Cricetulus griseus: one gene and its partner. The protein of the gene in region 2 interacts with the protein of the main gene of each other region in a biochemical or structural test. Links are inferred from orthologs where the notes say so. Each region holds a gene or a part of one and is shown on either strand. Other genes may lie near its edges. The genes, in order: Ifnar1 and Stat2.

The links.
Region 1: the proteins of Stat2 (region 2) and Ifnar1 form a complex in vitro, tested with the Homo sapiens proteins (2 studies listed by BioGRID). The link is inferred for Cricetulus griseus from reciprocal best matches to the Homo sapiens genes STAT2 and IFNAR1.

What each region holds. Positions count from the first base shown.
Region 1 is NC_048597.1:6,299,238-6,309,099, forward strand, and holds the start of Ifnar1 (interferon alpha/beta receptor 1), read right to left. Parts: upstream 5,099-9,862; 5' UTR 5,017-5,098; coding exon 4,944-5,016; intron 1-4,943. UniProt on the Homo sapiens protein: Together with IFNAR2, forms the heterodimeric receptor for type I interferons (including interferons alpha, beta, epsilon, omega and kappa).
Region 2 is NW_023276806.1:129,588,309-129,597,242, forward strand, and holds the end of Stat2 (signal transducer and activator of transcription 2), read right to left. Parts: intron 8,338-8,934; coding exon 8,179-8,337; intron 8,071-8,178; coding exon 7,978-8,070; intron 7,592-7,977; coding exon 7,532-7,591; intron 6,687-7,531; coding exon 6,669-6,686; intron 6,105-6,668; coding exon 6,011-6,104; intron 5,897-6,010; coding exon 5,849-5,896; intron 5,781-5,848; coding exon 5,697-5,780; intron 5,531-5,696; coding exon 5,432-5,530; intron 5,336-5,431; coding exon 5,200-5,335; intron 5,069-5,199; coding exon 5,016-5,068; intron 4,899-5,015; coding exon 4,804-4,898; intron 3,930-4,803; coding exon 3,793-3,929; intron 3,044-3,792; coding exon 2,861-3,043; intron 2,671-2,860; coding exon 2,613-2,670; intron 1,838-2,612; coding exon 1,551-1,837; intron 1,308-1,550; coding exon 1,162-1,307; 3' UTR 108-1,161; downstream 1-107. UniProt on the Homo sapiens protein: Signal transducer and activator of transcription that mediates signaling by type I interferons (IFN-alpha and IFN-beta).

The DNA of each region.
Region 1 (9,862 bases), on a different chromosome or scaffold from region 2:
AGAATTTATTCACACAGAGCAAAGTATACAGCAGTTTCCTCTGAAATGTGGGCACTGTAGCCAAGGCCCCCAGTGGATGCCTCAAACTGCAGTGAGAGCCCAGCTCTATCCAGACATTTTCCTACATAATTACAGTTATGATAGCTTAATAAAACAGACATAAGAAGATAATAAAAATTAATACAATACAGAGTAATTACAGTGTGGTTGAGGACTTGGGCCATTATTAGGTAAATAAGAGGGTTGCTTGGACACAATCTCCGTACTACTTTATTGGTTATTTGTATATCCTGGACAAAGGGAAGATCCCCACCCTAGGAAGGATGGACAGATTTCGTACACAATTTAAACATGAGGTGTGCGGGCCTTTATAATTGCTATATAGAACCTTTACTAATATATAATGCCTGTCTCTTATAGTCTTAATTGTGTGAACTAGAAACTTCCAAAGAAACTATGACAATAGACCACATTCCAAGAAGGACCATGTTTAGACAGCATCTTCCTCCAAAAGGAATTAAAGCACAGACCCATCTGCCGCCTCAGGCACTGGGAGGCTGGGGCAAGGGCTGCTCCAGAACCTTCAGAAACAAGTGTCTCTCCTGACCTAACACTTGCAGGGAAGTAGGTAGAAGAGTAGACCACTGAGGTAGACAATCTTCTAAGAATGAGGTAAGGTATCGTTTCCTTCTGGTGGCTGGTGGGTGTCCCTCGCTCCTATAACTTGTCTATGTAATGCCCTGCTCCCTGCATCCTTATAGTTACTGAATAACGTAGAACTTGTTTGCTCTATGGGTACAGAAACAAAAAAAAGATCATGTAACCTTTGAATAGGTATTCTTGGGTTTTGGTCACTCATATTTGTTTCAGAAGAAAGTATTTCATTTCCCTTGAAAGCAGAGTCACTCTTTTGGGCTAATGATTTAAAGTCTTTGGCACACTCCAGAGAGTTCCAAAGAGTTTAAAGTGCTGTCTAGGTGGAGACACTGACTCCTGCTAGTCATATTTCTAGAATCCTTAAAAAGACATGTTGTAACCCCCCTTTTTTTCTGTTCTTTTTCTCTTTTTAAAATTAATTTATTTTTTACATTACAATCCCAGTTCCCCCTCCTTCCTTTCCTCCTACTCCCTCCACTCTCCCTCCTCCCATCTTCTCCATGGAGAGGGTGAGGCCTCCCCTAGGAAGTCTACTAAGTCTGTCCCATCATCTCATTGATCTCGTTGAGGCAGGACCAAGGCCCCTCTCCACCCCCACACCCCTGTGTCTAGGCTGGGCAAGCTATCTCTCCATACAGAATGGGCTCCACTTAGTCAATTTGTGCATTAGAGTTAGATCTTGGACCCACTGCCAGTGGCCTCATGTATTGTCCCAGTCACACCACTGTCACCTATGTTAAGGGAGTTTAGTTTGGTCTTATGCAGATCCCCCCCCACACACACACTTTTTAAAGTTATATTTGTGTTGTGTCTGTGTGTGGGTGTGAGCAGATGAGAGCAGGTGCTGTTAGGATTTTCTGGAGGTAGAGATTGAAGTGAGCCACCTCTCCAGTCCTGATATGCTTTTTTTTTTTTAAGGTTTACTTTACGTGCATGAGTGTCTTTCCTGCATGCATGTGTGTGCACCACGTGTGCCTCATGATACGGAAGTCAGAAGAAGGTACTGAACTCCCTGGACCAGGGTTAGGGAAAGGTCCCGCTACACAACAGCACTCTTATCCACTGAGCCATCTCTCCAGCGCCTAGGCTGTAATTTTTTAAAACTATCTTTTCAGATCTGGCCCCACTGTTTTGACTTCTGTCTCAGACAACCACGTCATATCCTGACGCTTCTACTCCAGAGGCTAAGAGTATAGCTAGATCGGATGAGGAGAGACCCAGGACCCCCACCAGAGTCTTCCACCTTCAGCCTAAACACAATCTCCCCTCTTAACTCGATCCCCATCCCACTTGCTGGAATTTACAGACTGTGCGGAAAGGGCAGTGATTGGGTTTAGGAGATTAACAGAAGATCCAATAGCATCTGTCGCGGTCACAGTATTCCTTTTCAGATTTATTTTATATGTGTCAGTACTTTGTCTGCATGTACACCATGTCCCTGTCTAGCCAGAAAAGGGCATCGGTCTACCTAGAACTGGGTACTGGGACTTGAACCTGGGTCCTCTGAAAGACAAGCCAACGTTCTAAACTGCTGAGTCACCACTCTAACCCTGTTGGTAATATTGTAATTAAAATGATTGTGAGCCGGAGAGGAGGTGGAGATTTGATGAGGTACAGATAGGGGTGCTTCCAGGGTGCCATGTCGCTAACTGAAGGAGCCCCTGATGCTTCCAGGGTGCCATCATCTCTCTAACTGAAGGAGCCCCTGATGGTAAAACCATTTTGGTGCTTTGGTGACTCAGAAGTGAATGGAGATTTGGAAATGAGAGTTAACTGGACGTTGTTTCATAGATTCTGCAGTGTCAGTAACAACAGTTTATTCCCCCCTTAGCATGTAACATAACATTACTGAATTTGTGCATGTGTTTGTCTATCTGTGGGCACATTTATGTTAGAGCGAGCATGTGGAAGTCAGAAGACAGATTGCTGGAGTCGGGTCTCTCTACCAAGTGGGTTGGGGATTGAACTCAGGTCCTCAGGCTTGGGGGCAGGTACCTTTTCCTACTTAGCCATCTTGCTGGTCCAAGATATAAAATTTATATATGAGCGTTTATTTATAATTTCAGTTGCTTCCAAGCTTTAATGTTCATCTTGCTGACCACTAGGGTGTACTATTTTCTGAAATCTGATGTAAACATAGAGACATCCATCCATCCATTTATACAGCAGGATTTCATTAACTTGTTGGACAATTTTCTTGGTCTAAAGTCCTAGACTGGCCCTTACTAGGACAAAAAGAATGATTTTATTTTATTTTATTTGAGTTGTGGAGTAAGGACCAACATTACAATCTCAAGTTTAGAGTACCCATTCACTAATTTTTCAACATTATTGTCCCTTTAGGGGGAGAAGAGCATTAACAGCAAGAGGGCTAAGGAGGGCTTTAACATGTAAAAGGATAGTCAACTATTTTATTTGAAATGTTTTCCTTTAGGAAAACAGCTCTGGTTGGGTGTGGTGGTGCACACTTTTAATCCCAGTACTCTAGAGGCAGAGGTGGGTTGATCTCTGTGAGTACCAGTTCTGCCAGGGCCATCTCAAAACAACAAAACAACTAACCCATCTCTGGCTCGGGGTGGTAGCATATGCCAGTAATCCCAGCACTCAACTAGCAGAGGCAAGAGGGTTCAAGTTCAAAGCCAGCCGGGTTAGAACCTGCCTTAAAGGAAATGGCGCAAGCGTGAGAATCTGAGTTCGGGTCTCCAGCTGGGCGTGGCAGCACGTGCCAGCCATCCCGGTGTGGAGCAGACGGCAGCAGGGGGGTCCTCCGAGCTTGATGGGCGGCCAGTATATTATCCAGCTCCACGTTCAGTTAGAGATCCTGTCCCAATACGGAGGGCAGCAGCAGAGCCAGGCGCCCGACATTCGCCTCTGCCCTCCGGTTTCCTGAGCACACAGGCGGCGCACAATGAATGCGCGCTCTCTCTCTCTCTCTCTCTCTCTCTCTCTCTCTCCCTCTTTTCCTCCCTCTCCCTTCTTTCCCTCTCTCCTTTTTCCCCTCTCCCCCTTCTTCTCCTCTCCCCCTCTCTCTCTCCCTCTCTCCTCTTTTCCTCCTCTCTTCTCCTCTCTCTCTCTCTCTCTCTCTCTCTCTCTCTCTCTCTCTCTCTCTCTCTCTCTCTCTCTCTCACACACACACACACACACACACACACAATCAAAACAACAACTGCTCAGCGCGGTTAAGCCACACGGCTCTCAGTTAAGACGATCAATGCATGGTTTTTTCGATTCAGTCAGAAACTGGTGCACGATGTTAGGCAGGCTACTTAAACCTGAGTGCCTCAGTTTCCCCATCTGTGGAACGGCAGCGCTGAAAGTTTAGTTTATTACTTTAAAACACTCTGTGACAAGCGTAGCAAGAGTCCAGCAAATGCGCCTATAGAGTGAGCCTCGGTAACTGGCTCAGTTTGAGGTCAATTCTTCTGAGACACAGCCTCAGTACTGAGCACAGACGCGGTGGCCCGGTGCTACTGTTTCTCTTGCCTCAGTATCTCCGGGGCCGAGATGACAGGTGAATGTCACCACAGCGGGCTAAAATTAACTTCGGATGTCCATTTCACAGGAAAACAGGGAGGCGTTCCCTTGCAGATCGCAGTAAACACGAACGTGAGGATTTCTTTTTTGTTTTCTTTTGAGACAGGGTTTCTCTGTGTAGCTTTGGAGGCTGTCCTGGCACTCGCTCTGGAGACCAGGCTGGCCTCGAACTCACAGAGATCCACCTGCCTCTGCCTCCCCAGTGCTGGATTAAAGGCGAGCGCCACCACTGAGGACTTCTAAGAGAAAGCTCCTATAGGCCAGCTGCGCGAGGTTACAGTCCTGGGCGCTATCTGCAGGAGGGAGGGTGACACTTGGGGCGTCCGATTCCTAAGAGGAAGCCGAGCTTGCCGCGGCCTGGCTGCCTTCTGGGTCCTTAGGCCTCCAGGAAGAGGCCTTGTCTGTCGCCGTTCCCCAGCCAGCTGGCCCACTGGCTTCCCGGCTTGCTTGTCCGTGTTTGTGAGACGCTCCGGCCTCGGCCCGTTAGGGCGGCTCTCAGTGCCGGGCGAGCCGGGACGAGCTGCACCAGGCTGGGCCAGCGCGATTCTGCGGCCGTCTGCTCTCCCTCCCGCCCTCCCTCCGCCCCGAGCGAGCGTGCGAGCGTGCGAGCGTCCCCGGCTGGGGCAGGGCGCGGGCGCCGGGAGGGAGCCCGGGTCAGCCAGCGTGCGGGGACTCCGGCCACCCGCGCCCGCAGAGCGGCCCAGGCCTCCCCCTGCCCGCCGCCCGGCCCTCGGCCAGGCCCCTCGGCTCACCTGCGGCTGCGAGCAGCACCCACGGCGCCCCGGCCACCAGCACCAGGGCCGCCGAGCCCAGCAGCGCGAGCATCGTCCCCGCACGCCGGGCCCGTGGCTCACATCCCCGTCTCCTCCTGCGTCGCTGCGGCGGTCGCGGAGCAGCGCGGCCCTCCCTTCCCCGTGACGCCACGCCCCTTCCCGCGACGCCCCGCCCCTTTCCCGCGACGCCCGCCCCTCCGCGGATGCCCCGCCCCTCCGCCCCGGAGGCCCCTGGGGAGCAAGACGATTTGAAGGTCCCGGGAGATCTAGCCTTCTACTCGCGCTGACCTCCGGCCACAGCGGTCCCTGTCACGCCCCACTCCCACTTCCGTCAAGACGGGCTACCGCAGCCATCTCCAGAGAGAAACGCGGGCGCAGCCAGCGCGCCTGCGCAGATCCTCCCGGTCACATCCCGAACCCCGCCCCTCGCTTCCTGTTTTTGCCCTGGGGCGGGGTTGGTCCGCTGCCACGAGGCGTCGCCTCACGGGTGGCTGGTCCGCCTGCTTGCCCCTGGTGGGGGCATGCCCCGACCCTGGGACCCGGTGGGCACGGGCGACACAGCGTCCACTGTGTCCACTGTACGATTTTTATGCTCGACGCCTTGGTTGAAATCGCAGCGGGACCCATGGGACGGTTTGCTGTGTAGATTAGCACCGTCTGTGGGGTTTGGATTACTCAGCATTTGAATCTGATCGCTAAAATATTTTGAGGTTGGTTTTATGTGTGATTGTTATGCCTGCATGTATGTATGTGTGCCACACATACGTGCGTGCCTGGTACCCGTGAGGGCTTCTAGAACGTGCCAGATGCCCTGGCCCTGGCGTTACCCATCTTAGGTATCCGAATCCCGTCCTCTGCAAGTGCTCTTAACCACTGAGCCATCTCTCTAGCCCCTTAACTCTGTTTCATTACTACCTCCTAAAGGGACTTTAGTTTATTTGTTGTTTAATTTTTTTTAAAGCACGCTTATCTATCAACAATGATACAATATAGATTTGCTACAGTGGGGGAAAAAATCCCCATATACCCCCCCAAAAAAAACTCTTATGTTTTATATTTCTGACATGCTACTCTTTGAAACAAAGCAGTATTTCCAGGTAGTCTCAGTGCATTGAAAATACAGTATTTTAAACATACTTGCTACAAACTTTACCTCTGTAATCTGAATAGCAAAAATTCCTGTGTAAAGGATCAAGTACATTGTATTTAGTAGTATTTAGAACTACATTCTAGAAGAATGTCAATGAAAACACAAATTTACAATTCAGGTCTCACAGTAATATAAATAGCCTCTCGTGGAATCACACAGTCAATATCCATTTACGGACTTACTTTACACTGGAAATGTGTTATACTTTGGGAGCACAGACACAGAACTTACACAAAGTGTATGTGTGAGCTCCTGAGTAGGCATTTTATGTTGTAATTATCCATTCTTGTTCTTCTATAACTTGTTATACTACTTTCAAGTACATGTTCAATTATACACATGTAGCCAGAGGCTAGGATCCACATATGAAGGAGAAATCCCCGCCCCCAAGATTGGTGGCCTTGCTTCTAAGTCCATTCATGCTGTGGAATAACTGGGCTGCAGATGTATTACATTTGTTTATACTGTGGAATATTACTTAACAGTGTAAAGGTGTATTACTTTTGTTTACTCTGCATTTGTTTAATGACGTAAGGATGTGTGTTTAATTACGTAGAGACGTGTTGCAGCACTTTCACCTTGCCTGTCTAAGGCACCTGATTGATCTAATAAAAAGCTGAGGGGTCAATAGCTAGGCGGGGCTGCCAGGCAGAGGGAATAAATAGAAAGGAAGAAGAGAGGAGAGAATGAGGGAGACTCCTGGGGCCAGAAACCGGGAAGCCACTAGACAGGCAGACACAGAGCCAGCAGGAAAGCAAGGTATAAAGAAGGGTAAAAAAAGCCCAAGGCAAGCCAGGAGTAGGTGGCACATGCCTTTAATCCCAGCACTCCGGAGGCAGAGGCAGGTGAATCTCTGTGAGTTTGAGGCCAGCCTGGTCTCCAGAGCGAGTGTCAGGATAGGTTCCAAAACTACGCAGAGAAACCCTGTCTCCAAAAACAAACAATGAGTGCTCATGTCTGCTCTGGAGGAAATGGCTTGCAGCACTGCTGAGGACACTGATAATGTCTGGAAACAGTTTTGGTATTGCTACTATAAGGCAGTGCTACTGACGCTTGAATCCTATGAGGCAAGGCCAGCTTTACCTCAAGGATTACCTGGCCCTAAGGTCACTAGTATAGAGAAACCTTGCTTAGGTGATTACTTGGAAGTCATGCAAATAAGGGTTCTCATTTAGCAACAATGGTTGCAATAAAACACGCTAGGAGGAAAGGGTTTACTTGACTTATACTCCAGGGTACAGGCCATTCGTTATTGAGGGAAGGCAGTGCAAGAACTTGAAGCAGAAAGCTGGAAGGACACCACTTGCTGGTCTGCTCTCAGGCCTATACTAGGCTCGCTTTCTTACACAGCTGCGGGCCACCTGCCTATGAAGTGGTACAGAGGGCTTTGCCCTCCGACACCGATTAACAATAAGACAGTCCCACAGACATACCCAAAGGCCCATCCTATCTACACAACCCTCAAGCCGGGCTTCCTTTCAGATGACTCCAGGCTGTGTCAAGTGATCTATCAGTGATCTGTTTCAAAATCAAGCTGGGGTTTGGCAAGAGTGCGCAGAGGAAAGCATTTAACCAAGGGCAAATGACCTGGGACAGATCTCTGGGATCCTCACGGTGGAGACAGACCGACCACCACAACCTGTCCTGATTGCCCCACACTTGCAGCACTCATAGCAAACATGTAATAATAATAATAATAATAATAATAATAAAAAGATGAGAAAACATAAAAATCAAACTTCAATCCAGAGGCTAGTGCCCCAGAACTCTAACATAAAACACAAAACTGTGGATGCGTTTTGTGCTACACACAACCCTGGAGGTTCAAAAGCTCCGCCTCCAATCTCAGCCAAGCTCCCTTCCCCACATGACAGCTGGAAGTCTAAGGTGCAAAGTGACACTGTGGAGGCTTTTTGTTTCATCTTCAGTATTTGAAATGTTTTCCCAAAAAAGTAATTTCATAAATTAGTCGATGACAGTTGCTCATGGGATGGTGTAGACAACTGATATAGGCATGCAAAGAATCCCTAGTGGGGGTGATGGCAGTAACCTGAGGAGGAATGGTAGCTGGAAGAGATTGATGAAAACACAATGTGGGAACAAACATCCATATCAGTTGGGGTTCTCTGTGTGAACAGAAGGGGTAGAACAGAAACAGAAATATGTATGTATGTATGTATGTATGTATGTATGTATGTTTGTATGTATGTTTGCACTTATGGGACTATGAGAGTGGCTTAGAGGCTGTGGTCCAGGTAGTCCAACAATGGCAGTCTTGGTCTCCCAGCAGCAAGTTCAAGGATGTCTCGGCTGGTCTTCAGTACACACCAGAATCCCGGAGAAGGAGGCTCTAATGCCAGTGAAGGACTTGCCAGTGAGAGCAAGCAGGCAGAGAGAAACCTTCCTCCTCCTGTGTCCTCATATAGTTGCCACCCAGGTCAAAGGTGGATTTTCCCACCGGAAGAAGGGACTTAGGATGGGGTCTTGTTAGACCTGAGAAAAACGGTTTCTATGACTGACTATATTCAGAAGTGCACATGGGACCGGTCAGATGACTGCCTCCTCTAAATCAGAGTTTCAGAGAGCAGCCCTAATTTGAGGTCCCTTTTAGGGGCAAGGGTTACGGGTGGTAGAAAACAGCTGTTGAGATCATTGGCTGTTAGCACCTGGACGGAAGAGAGGGGGACTCAGGGCACAAGAACATGTCCAATGCACAGGCGGTCATGACAGGTGTGCAGGCATTTACTAAGGCAAAGGGGTGGGCACACACCATGGGGTCACAAATTCAGCATGGGTTGGAAACCATGGCTGACAGGATATAGTAGGCTTAGGAAACAAACTTATTCTGTAAAGTATGGAGACTTAATAGCAATTCGGCTCCTGTTTTGGTTTTATATCTTCCTGCTTCAAACAATTCAATCAAGAAAAATCCTCACAGGTGTGCCCAGCCCCTTGGGTTTTAGTTAATTCCAGAGGTAGTTGACAACCAAGAATAACTATCACAACATATTAAAACATTTAAAAATGAATGTATTGTTATTATTGTAGGTGTGCATGCCTTTTAGAATGTATACCAAATTGAGGAGTTACAGTCTCAAGAATTGACACAAGGCACGCATGAACCACACTCATGACCTCAGCTCTCAGGAGCTCAGGCAGGAGAACTGCCATGAGTTTGAAGATGGGAGCCATCTCCCAGCCCCTCAATATAGCTCTGTCAAATGTTTTCTTGTTGTTTGTGTATGCGTATGTGCGTTTGTGTTGGTCCACACATATGTGTAAGCAAGTGGACACCAGAAGTCAGCTTTAAATGTTCTTTCTCATGTGCAGTTCACACCTTGTTTTTGAGACAGGGTCTCTCACTGACCTGAAATGTAAGAATTAGGTGTAGGGGATGCTGTAGCCATGCCTGCAAAGGCGTGGTCAGGGTGATGTAGAGTGAAGGGCAGTCAGGTGGCTGGTTTCGGTTTCAGTTTCACTTTTCGGCTTGCTGTACAGACTGCTGCCCCAGCTGGCTAGGTCGTTCTGTAAGTAAGACTTTTTCCCTGATAAAATCCCTTGTATTTCTACCTGGCTCCGTATTGGTAATTTCCCACATTATTGGTTGTCAGGAGTGGGATATTGGAAACCTAGGCTCCATTTGGGACAGCCTGTGGGTCCCTGCGGCCTAGGCGGGGAAGCTCCCTCTCTCCACAGGTGCTCCCGGCTCGCAGCCGATTCGCTGCGCCACACCAGCACCGCTGCTCAG
Region 2 (8,934 bases):
GGTTTTTCGTTTGCTCATGACACCTTCATGGCTGAGCATGGTACTGTTGTCCCCTCTCCCCACTGTTATTAACCCCTTCCTGAACAGGACTGACACACCAGGCAGGAAACAGTCACAGTATGGCTCATGTTCATTTGCCACTCAAGTTGTACCACAAACACACCTCAGAGTAGTGGCAGTTGCTCCCGGGTTCCCTGGCCTGGGCAAGGCTTAAGGATGTCCAGAGGCCTCTGATAAACCTTCATGGCTCTGAGGTCCTTGCCCGGGTCACGCCTAAGGGGACACGCTTGGCTTTCACATTAACGATGTACAAAAGAGTGACAACTTATTAGTAAGACAGCCTGGATGCAGCATGTCTCTTCACTCAATTCTACCCAGTACTATAAGAAGAAATTCCCAGTGCTCAGAAACCTGAGCACCCAGACCTACAGGAGTGATTCTCTCAAGAACTGGAGAAGTAGAGGCGAGACTGCCTAAGGCAGCAAAGCTTCACATCTTCCTAAGGGACCAGGATTGTTGTGTAGGGGAGGGGTGAGCAGGGCTGGAGACCACTAGGAGGAATACTATTTGCCATGCTCATCCTTAGGATAGAGTTCACATGGTGGGCTGAAGCAGACAGCTCTCAGCCTCTACAGGGAAAAAGGAGATTTAGAATTGGAGTCGGGAGCCAAGGGAGAAGAAAAGGAAAGGGTTAGTTAGACCTGAAGTGGCCATTAGACAGGACTAAAGCACTTGGGGTATGGCTCAGTGCCAGTGTAGTTGCCTGCCACAGTTGAGAGTCCGGCTTTGACAAGACCCAGGATAGCAAAGGGGAGGGAGGACAAAACTCCATCCATCTCTGTGCTCCCCACAAAGGTCACACCAATTTGGCCTTACCAATCATCAAACCATTAAAATCTTACCATACTGCAAAGATAGCACTGCCTTGGGTATCCTCTAACAATCTCTCAAATGTCCTAGCTTGCCCTCAGGACCCCTGCATCTCCCAGCATGGCAGGCAGACTCAGGATCCTAGCAAGACTACGGCCAGTGTCTGTTCTGATTCTTTGGTGCACCTTCAAAGCCATCTTACACTTTTACCTCTTACTCCAAAGTCCATGGCTAACCCAGCTCAGAAGGCCTCATCTCCCACTGTAGGGAGGACAGAGGGGAACGAGACTTCTAGTCATCAGAAGGAATCAAGGGTCCATCCACATCAAAATGGCTCTGGCAGGACATGTAGGCTTCGTCTCCGATGTTCTGATCAGCCAACAGCGGGTCACCGTGGGGCATGATGTCATCAATATTTATGATGTTGTTTCTGAAAACTAGAGCACACAGAGAAAATGTCAGTCCCTGATCCAAGTTGGATGCTCCCAACAAGAAGAACAGGCACAGTCTGGGGCTGAAGGGGATCTTGGGAAATGGAAGAACAGAGTGGGACACAGGAGGTGCTTGCACTTCCTAACATTGGGAAATTAACCAGGGCCTTGGAGCTCACCTTTTAGTAATGGGTCAGAGTGAGGTAGCTAAAGGTGTCCCCTCTTCCCCAGCCTGGCCTTGTCACTTACTTTCCATATCCACCATGTTCAGCTGCTGCAGATCTTGAGGTAAATCTGACTCTGGTGACAGCTGCGAGGCAGGTCCTGGGTCTGCCTCTGGCATTGTTTGTGGGTCCACACACGGTGTGGGGTTTAGTTCCAGCTTTGTCCCTAGATCCAGCCCTTCCTCCAGCAGCGTCTGTAAATCCAGGTCTTGTTCTAATGTCATGGCTGACATGAGATCTTCATTTAGCTCTAACGGATCCAGTTCTGCTTCCGGTTTAAGTTCTGGAGGTTGCTGCAGCTCGTCCACCTGTCTAGGTAGACAAGGACAGACAATGGGACAAGACTCAGTGAGTGTGATAAAGTGAGAAAAGGCAGAGCAAGCAGGGGCTGTGTTTCTAGTCTAAGAAGGAGATGGGGATCTAGGTGTGTTTGCACATAGCTTTACCCAGCACTCAGGAGGCAGAGGCAGGTGGATCTCTGTGAGTTTGAGACCAGTCTGGTGTACATGGTGAGACCCTGCCTGGGGTGGGGGACAGATGCAAAGGTCTAAAGGCCTTGGGCTTTATAATCAAGATTTTAAGATTTTTGTTATTCTGTCTTCCTTTGAGACAGGGTCTCATATAGCCCAGGCTGGCCCTTCAAATCTCTACATAGCCAAGGCTAGACTGGAACTTGTATGCCTTCTGCTCTCCACTCCCCAAATGCTGGAATCATAGGCACATACTGCCACCACATCTGGCCTTGAAATCCCTCTCACTTACTAGCTAGATGAATCACATATTATCAGTTACATTTTTTTAAGTTTATTTTTACTTTCTGTGTGCAAGCATTTTGCCTTTGCATATGGCTGTGCCCGAGTTTGATATGATACCATTACTGTTACCCACTCCTGTGGGTCCTCATAAGGGCTGAACAACAAAAGGTTTTAGAAAATCCAGTACTATGACTGGCATCAGGAAGAGTCCCATTACGTGAGTGGTTTTGATCATGGCCACCAGGGAGATGGCAGGAAACCATGAGAGAAGAGAGAAGTTGGTGCCTGGGGTCAGCAGGCAGAGGATTTTGAGTGAAGGGTTTGTATCTCACCTGTTGGAGACCACAATTAGCCTGTGTTTCAGGTATTTCCTCCGCTCTTCAAAATTAACTGTGGGGACACAGACAGGAGGTGGGAGAGATCAATGTGTTGGACACGTGACAGTCCTGACAAATGTACCTCCCTATTAAGGGGCATGCGCCATGGACAAATGTGCCCTGTGTGTGAAAGGAGGGAGATGGACTTTCCAATATCTGAGGAACCTTTCACTCTAGGAAGGATGTATGCCAATGATCCCAACCTTTTTCCTGGTAGTAGCACCCAAAAGCTTCATCCCGAGGGATTCTGGGATAGAGGAAGCGTAAAGGGTTCTCAGGGATGTTCTCGTCGGCAAGAACCTGGTAGTGGCGGATTATTTCTGTCAGTGGGAGTGACTGTAGCACTTCCTTGGTGTAGGGCTGCACGGAGTAGATGATCACTTTATCTGAAAAATAGTGGGCTTGAGGTGAGGCTAGCCCCAGAGTTCTCTGCCTTAGCTGCCCAACCTCAAAGCTACTATGGGATCCAGGCAGAGTCCCAGAAACCAAGAGCAGACAGAGGGTCAGAGAGGGTGGGGTGGGGTGCCTGGCAGAGAGTAGAGACTGCAGGAACAGTTGGGGGTGTGTGATGGGTGTATGTGATGGGGTGTGTGTGTGTGACTGTGTATGTGTGTGTGTAATGAGGTGTGTGGTGGGTGTATGTGATGGTGTGTGTGTGTGTGTGTGTATGTGTGTGTAATGGGGTGTGTGATGGGTGTATGTGATGGGTGTATGTGATGGGGTGTGTGGGTGTGTAATGGTGTGTGTGTGTGTGTGTGTGTGTGTGTGTGTGTGTGTGTGTAATGGGGTGTGTGATGGGTGTATGTGATGGGTGTATGTGATGGGGTGTGTGGTGTGTGTATGTGTGGTGTGTGTGTGTGTGTGTGTATGTGTGTGTAATGGGGTGTGTGATGGGTGTATGTGATGGGTGTATGTGATGGGGTGTGTGGGTGTGTAATGGTGTGTGTGTGTGTGTGTGTGTGTGTGTGTGTGTGTGTGTGTAATGGGGTGTGTGATGGGTGTATGTGATGGGTGTATGTGATGGGGTGTGTGGGTGTGTAATGGTGTGTGTGTGTGTGTGTGTGTGTGTGTGTGTGTGTGTGTGTCATTGGGGTATGTGACAGCGTGTGTGAAGAGGTATAATGGGGGCACCAACCATCATCCTGGTGCTCCACCCAAGAGCAAGTGATGCCCCCCTCAGAAGTTTCACTGAAGCGCAGAAGAAAGGTCCCAGAGACCATCTTCTTCAGCAGTCGGCGTTCCTGGTTCCGGCTCACAAAGCCCATGATGTGCCTGGAGCAGACAAAGTCACTGTAAGGTCCCAAGGTCCCTGTCCCATTCGTGTGGAAGTGGGAACTGGGATTTGGCCCTATTTCTGTCACTTTGACAATGCTCCTACCCCCAAGATTTGAAGGGGTGTGAGCATTCAATGAGGATACAATAAAGAAAGGTATGAGGTAAGGAGTGACAGACGGCTCAGCAGCTAAAGGTACCTGCCACCAAGCCTGACCACCTGAGTCCAGTCTCTGATCTACACACACACACACACACACACACACACACACACACACACTAACTACACACACACACACTACGTAAAAACACAATAGAGCTGGACATAGCATCTAATATTTTTAATCCCAGCTCTCTGGAGGCAGAGGCAAGTGGATTTGTGAGTTCAAGGCCAATGTGGTTTACATAGCAAGTTGCAGGACAGCCAGCCAGAGCTACATAATAGAGACTCTCTCTCTCTCTCTCTCTCTCTCTCTCTCTCTCTCTCTCTCTCTCTCTCTGTGTGTGTGTGTGTGTGTGTGTGTGTGTGTGTGTGTAAAAAGGCCAGGTGATGGACAGTTGCCCAAGCCTGAGTCTATTCCCAATTCTGTCCATTAAGCCAGTTCCTAATTTCTCCAAGAATGGGTTTCCTCATGAGACTGAAGGTGGAACTATTCACCACACTGGTGACACAATGAACAGAGCCTGCAGGGACTGAGCACCCTGCAGGCTCTGCAACACTGCAGACACTTGACAAATACAGGCCATAATTACTATTACTAACGGGACCTCCCGTCAGTTTTTGGTCTCTCCCGTGCCATAAGGGGGCGCACGAAGTCCACTCCTGAGCCCAGTGAGAGAAAACCCTGGATAGGAGGGCTGAGAAAGGCCTTACCCATCATTCCAGAGCTCCTTCAGGTGGTCATGGACCAGCTCCAGAATTTTGTCCAGCCACGTCCAGAAAGGGATCTTGCCAGGGGGGCTGTCTCTCTGAAGGAGGAATGGAAAGGCAGGAAGAGATTGGAGCTACCCTTAGTGTAGGGAAGGGTCGAGGCAGGGCCAGAATTGGGACTGGGGACTAGAGAGACACAGGCTGCTGGGAATTACCTTACTGAAGTCCACCCAGGACAACAATGCATCCTCCATCCTGCAGTTCTTTCCTGTAGGACAGGGTCACAGATGGTTTGGATGAATGAAGGAGGCCATGGGGGCCAGGCAGAGGGCCTGGGATAGGACACAGGGTAGGGGCAAGCTAGGCTAGGGAAAGAGTGAGAACAAAGAAAAACTGTACCAAAGAGCTTGTTCTTCAGCATGCCCAGCTGCTCAGAATTGAGGCCTCGGCCAACATACGAGGAGAATTGCCAACTGAGAACAGGCCCCAGCAAGCTCCAGGGGGCTTTAGGAGCATGGCAGAAGAATTTGGGGTTCTGTGGGGGAGAGGGAGGTGAGATGGCTCAAAAGCAGCCCTTCCCGCCATGCCTTCACTCCTCTCTGCTCCTCACCCATTCACCTCATCCTCCTACCTGGGGGGTTGGGCTGAGCATGTTGAACCAGAGAACTGAGGCCCAGGCAATGGAGAGCTGGTTCATGTTAGAAATGATCACCACAGGGAGCGTGTCCGTCTGGGAAACAGACAGAAGTCATGGTGGTGGCAGACGTCTGCCTTGGGGCCTGGATGACACCTCACTCTGGGAGACCTTGGGACACTTCCGTTGGTGTCTGTGCGGTGCCCCCTGTGTGTTTCTTCTAAATGTGCTGCCTCCTCCTTCCCTGCTTCCCCTCACTCACCTGCAGCTCCATCTTCAGACCTTGGTACACGTATTGCACCACAAAGCTGATGACATGTAACTCCTCCATTACGGCCAGCGGCCCCTGGAGAGTCACAGTGATTAGAGGGCTCCTTGGTCAGTCGAGGCTCTGGAGAGTCCCCCCAGCCTTACCTTATTGGTGCCCTTTCCTGTCCCCACAGAACGTTGCTCCACCAGCGTCTGTGAACGGAGGGAAATACAATGCCAGGGAGGGGACCCAAAGGCCAAGACCTGGAAATATTCCTCCAACCCTGGTCCTTCGAATTAGTGGCCAATTCTATTAACCCTTCTTACCAAGAAGCCAAAGTCCCAAACTAAACCTTGTCTCTGGCCCTCCTCAGGGGTCAAGGTTTTTTGGTTTGAGGTCAGAATGTTGAATTTCCGGAAGCTGTTCCAGGGAAAAGATATACGGAGACAAAGAGCAAGTTAGTGTCTGTCTGTCTGTCTCTGTAGCCCAGGCTGGCCTTGTATTCTCAGTGATCCTCTTGCCCCAGACTCCTAAGTACTGAAGTTTCAGGTGTATCCCACTATGCCATACTCAGAGTTAGTTTTAAGAATCAGCAGGAAAGGGCCAGTGAGATGGCTCAACAGGCAGAGAGGTTGTGGCCAAGCCTGATTACTTGAGTTCAAACCCCAAGACCCACATGGTGGGAGGAAAGAGCAGACTCCCACTAGTTGTCCTCTGATCTATACATATTTCCATATTTTTCTTTCTTGATCTTGGGCATGTACACACACACACACACACACACACACACACACACACACACTAGCTCTTTCTGTAACTAAAATCCAAATAAAAAAACAAAAATCCCACTTCATTTCAGACTTCCTCTTCTCCTGTTGTCCATGCCCCACCCACATCCCCTTCCTTCCGTGGACCCCACCGGTGTTGCCAACCGTGGTAGTGCAGGCCATGTATGCAGAGTGCATGTGCTTATCAGACACCTACCCTGGTAACTCTGAATTCCTGAAAAGAAAGAAAAAAGACAATCACTGGTCCTGTGGGGGACAGGGAGATGGCTCAGAAGCACCCCGTCCCACCAAGCCTCCACTCAGGAGGTAAAAGTGGATAGGAATTTGGTCTTGGTAGTCAGGACAGGTTCTAGAGTTCACTGGCCACATGGCCTGTCAGACGAGACACGGTATTTCTGAGTTCATGTCCTTATTTGTCACTAATACCCACCTGGTGGCTGTGTTAGTAAAACGAGCCTGAGACACGCTGCATGGCAGCGAGTGTGTGCTTGGTGAGAGGGGGGTGGGCTTTGCTGCTGTTGTTTAGTTTTTGTGTGTGTGGTTTTTTTGTTGTTGTTGTTGTTGTTGTTTAAAGATTTTATTCATTTATTATGTATACGGTCTTGTGCCTGCATGCCAGCAGAGGGCACCAGATCTCATAACAGATGGTTGTCAGCCGGGAATTGAACTCAGGACCTCTGGAAGAACAGTCAGTGCTCTTAACCTCTGAGCCATCTCTCCAACCCCGTGTGTGTGGTTTTTGTTGTTTTATTTTTCTTTTGTTTTTGTTTTTTGTTTTTGTTTTTGTTTTTTTTTTTTGAGACAGGGTTTCTCTGTGTAGCCCTGGCTGCCCTGGAACTCACGCTATACACCAGGCTGGCCTCAAACTCACAGAGATCTCCCTACCTCTGCCTCCCTCCCCCCATTAAAGGGGTGCACTACAACTCCTGGCTTCACTTCTGTAAGGTAGAATGGCACGGACAGGAGGCAGTCTGAGGGTCCAGCTGTGCAGCGACTACCGCTGGCACCAGTCCATCCCCACTGGCCATCTTAGTCACATCCTTCAGCCGCTCAACTTACCTGTCAATGGAGACCTCTGCTTTGAGTGACTCGTTGCCCTCCTGGAGTCTCACCAGCAGTCTGGGGGGAAAGGAGATGGGTTGGATATAGTGGTCAATCTTAAATTTGTTGTTGTTTGTTTTCGAGACAGGGTTTCTCTGTATAACAGTCCTGGCTGCCCTGGAACTAGCGCTGGAGACCAGGCTGGCCTCAAACTCACAGAGATCCTGCCTCTGCCTCCCGAGTGCTGGGATTAAAGTCGTGCACCACCACTGCCTAGTTCTCAAATTCTTGATAAGGTCAGATGTGTAGAAAAAACTGTGTGTGTGGGGGGGTGGGGGACTAGAAGGGGAAGGTAGACTGGAGGGGGAAGAAGAAATTTCCATCAGCTAAAGAATCTGCAAAGTCAGAAAAGGTACAATGGCAGAGTAGGAGAAAACAAGGCAGGGGTTAGAAAATCAAGCAACCTTGTTCGGACAGTGAACTTGCTCCCAGTCTTCAGGATGAGGGGTCGATGAAGGGTTTGGGGCATGCAGGGCTGGGTTTCTACCACAAAGGACCTAAGGAAGAGGCATGGAGAGAAGATAACAGTTCAGTGTCTGTAACAACCGGAACCCCACGTTTCTTCCTTGTTCCTCCCACCACAGACCCCTCCCAGGCCACCAGACCTTTGGAGCAGGCGTTGTAGTAACTCTGTGACTTGGGCATTTTGCAGGTCCACCCCTTTGCTGAACATGTCCCCGTCATACTTAAGCATGTGGCTCATTTCCTTCAGCTGTCTCAGCAGCTGTCGAAGGTGGAACAGGAGCTTTGCTCCAGCCGTCAACCTGCATGACACAGTCCGGAGAGAGAGGATGTGTGAGTTTCACAGGGCCCCACTGAGGTTCTGGGTGCTCTCCTTTTAATAATGTGGAGGGTTGGAAACTGACTTGAGGGGCTGGGGAGATGGCTCAGGGGTTAAGAGCACTGGCTGCTCTTCCAGAGGACCCAAGTTCAGTTCCCAGCACCCACATAGCAGCTCACAGCTGTCTGTAACTCCAGTTCCAGGGGACCCAACACCCTTCCCAGGCATACATGAGGCAAAACACTAATGCACACAAAATAAAATAAAACAAAACAAAAACCTCACTCGACTAAAAAAGAACCCAGAACCAGGTATGCCACTGCCTCCTTGTTCTTCCACACTCTCAAGGTTAAGTAGGAGGGTTCGAGAGTTTAAGGCCAGCCTGGGACACATGAGACCCTGTCACAAACAAACAATGCAGGAAACATATGGCAAAGTATTCAATACAATTTTTCCCTAGTCAGAGTTTCTGTGTGTAGCCCAGGCTACCCTGGAGCTCACTCTGGAGATCCACCTGCCTCTGCCTCCCAGGTACTGGGATGAAAGACATGAGCCAATACTAACCTGATTCAACACAATT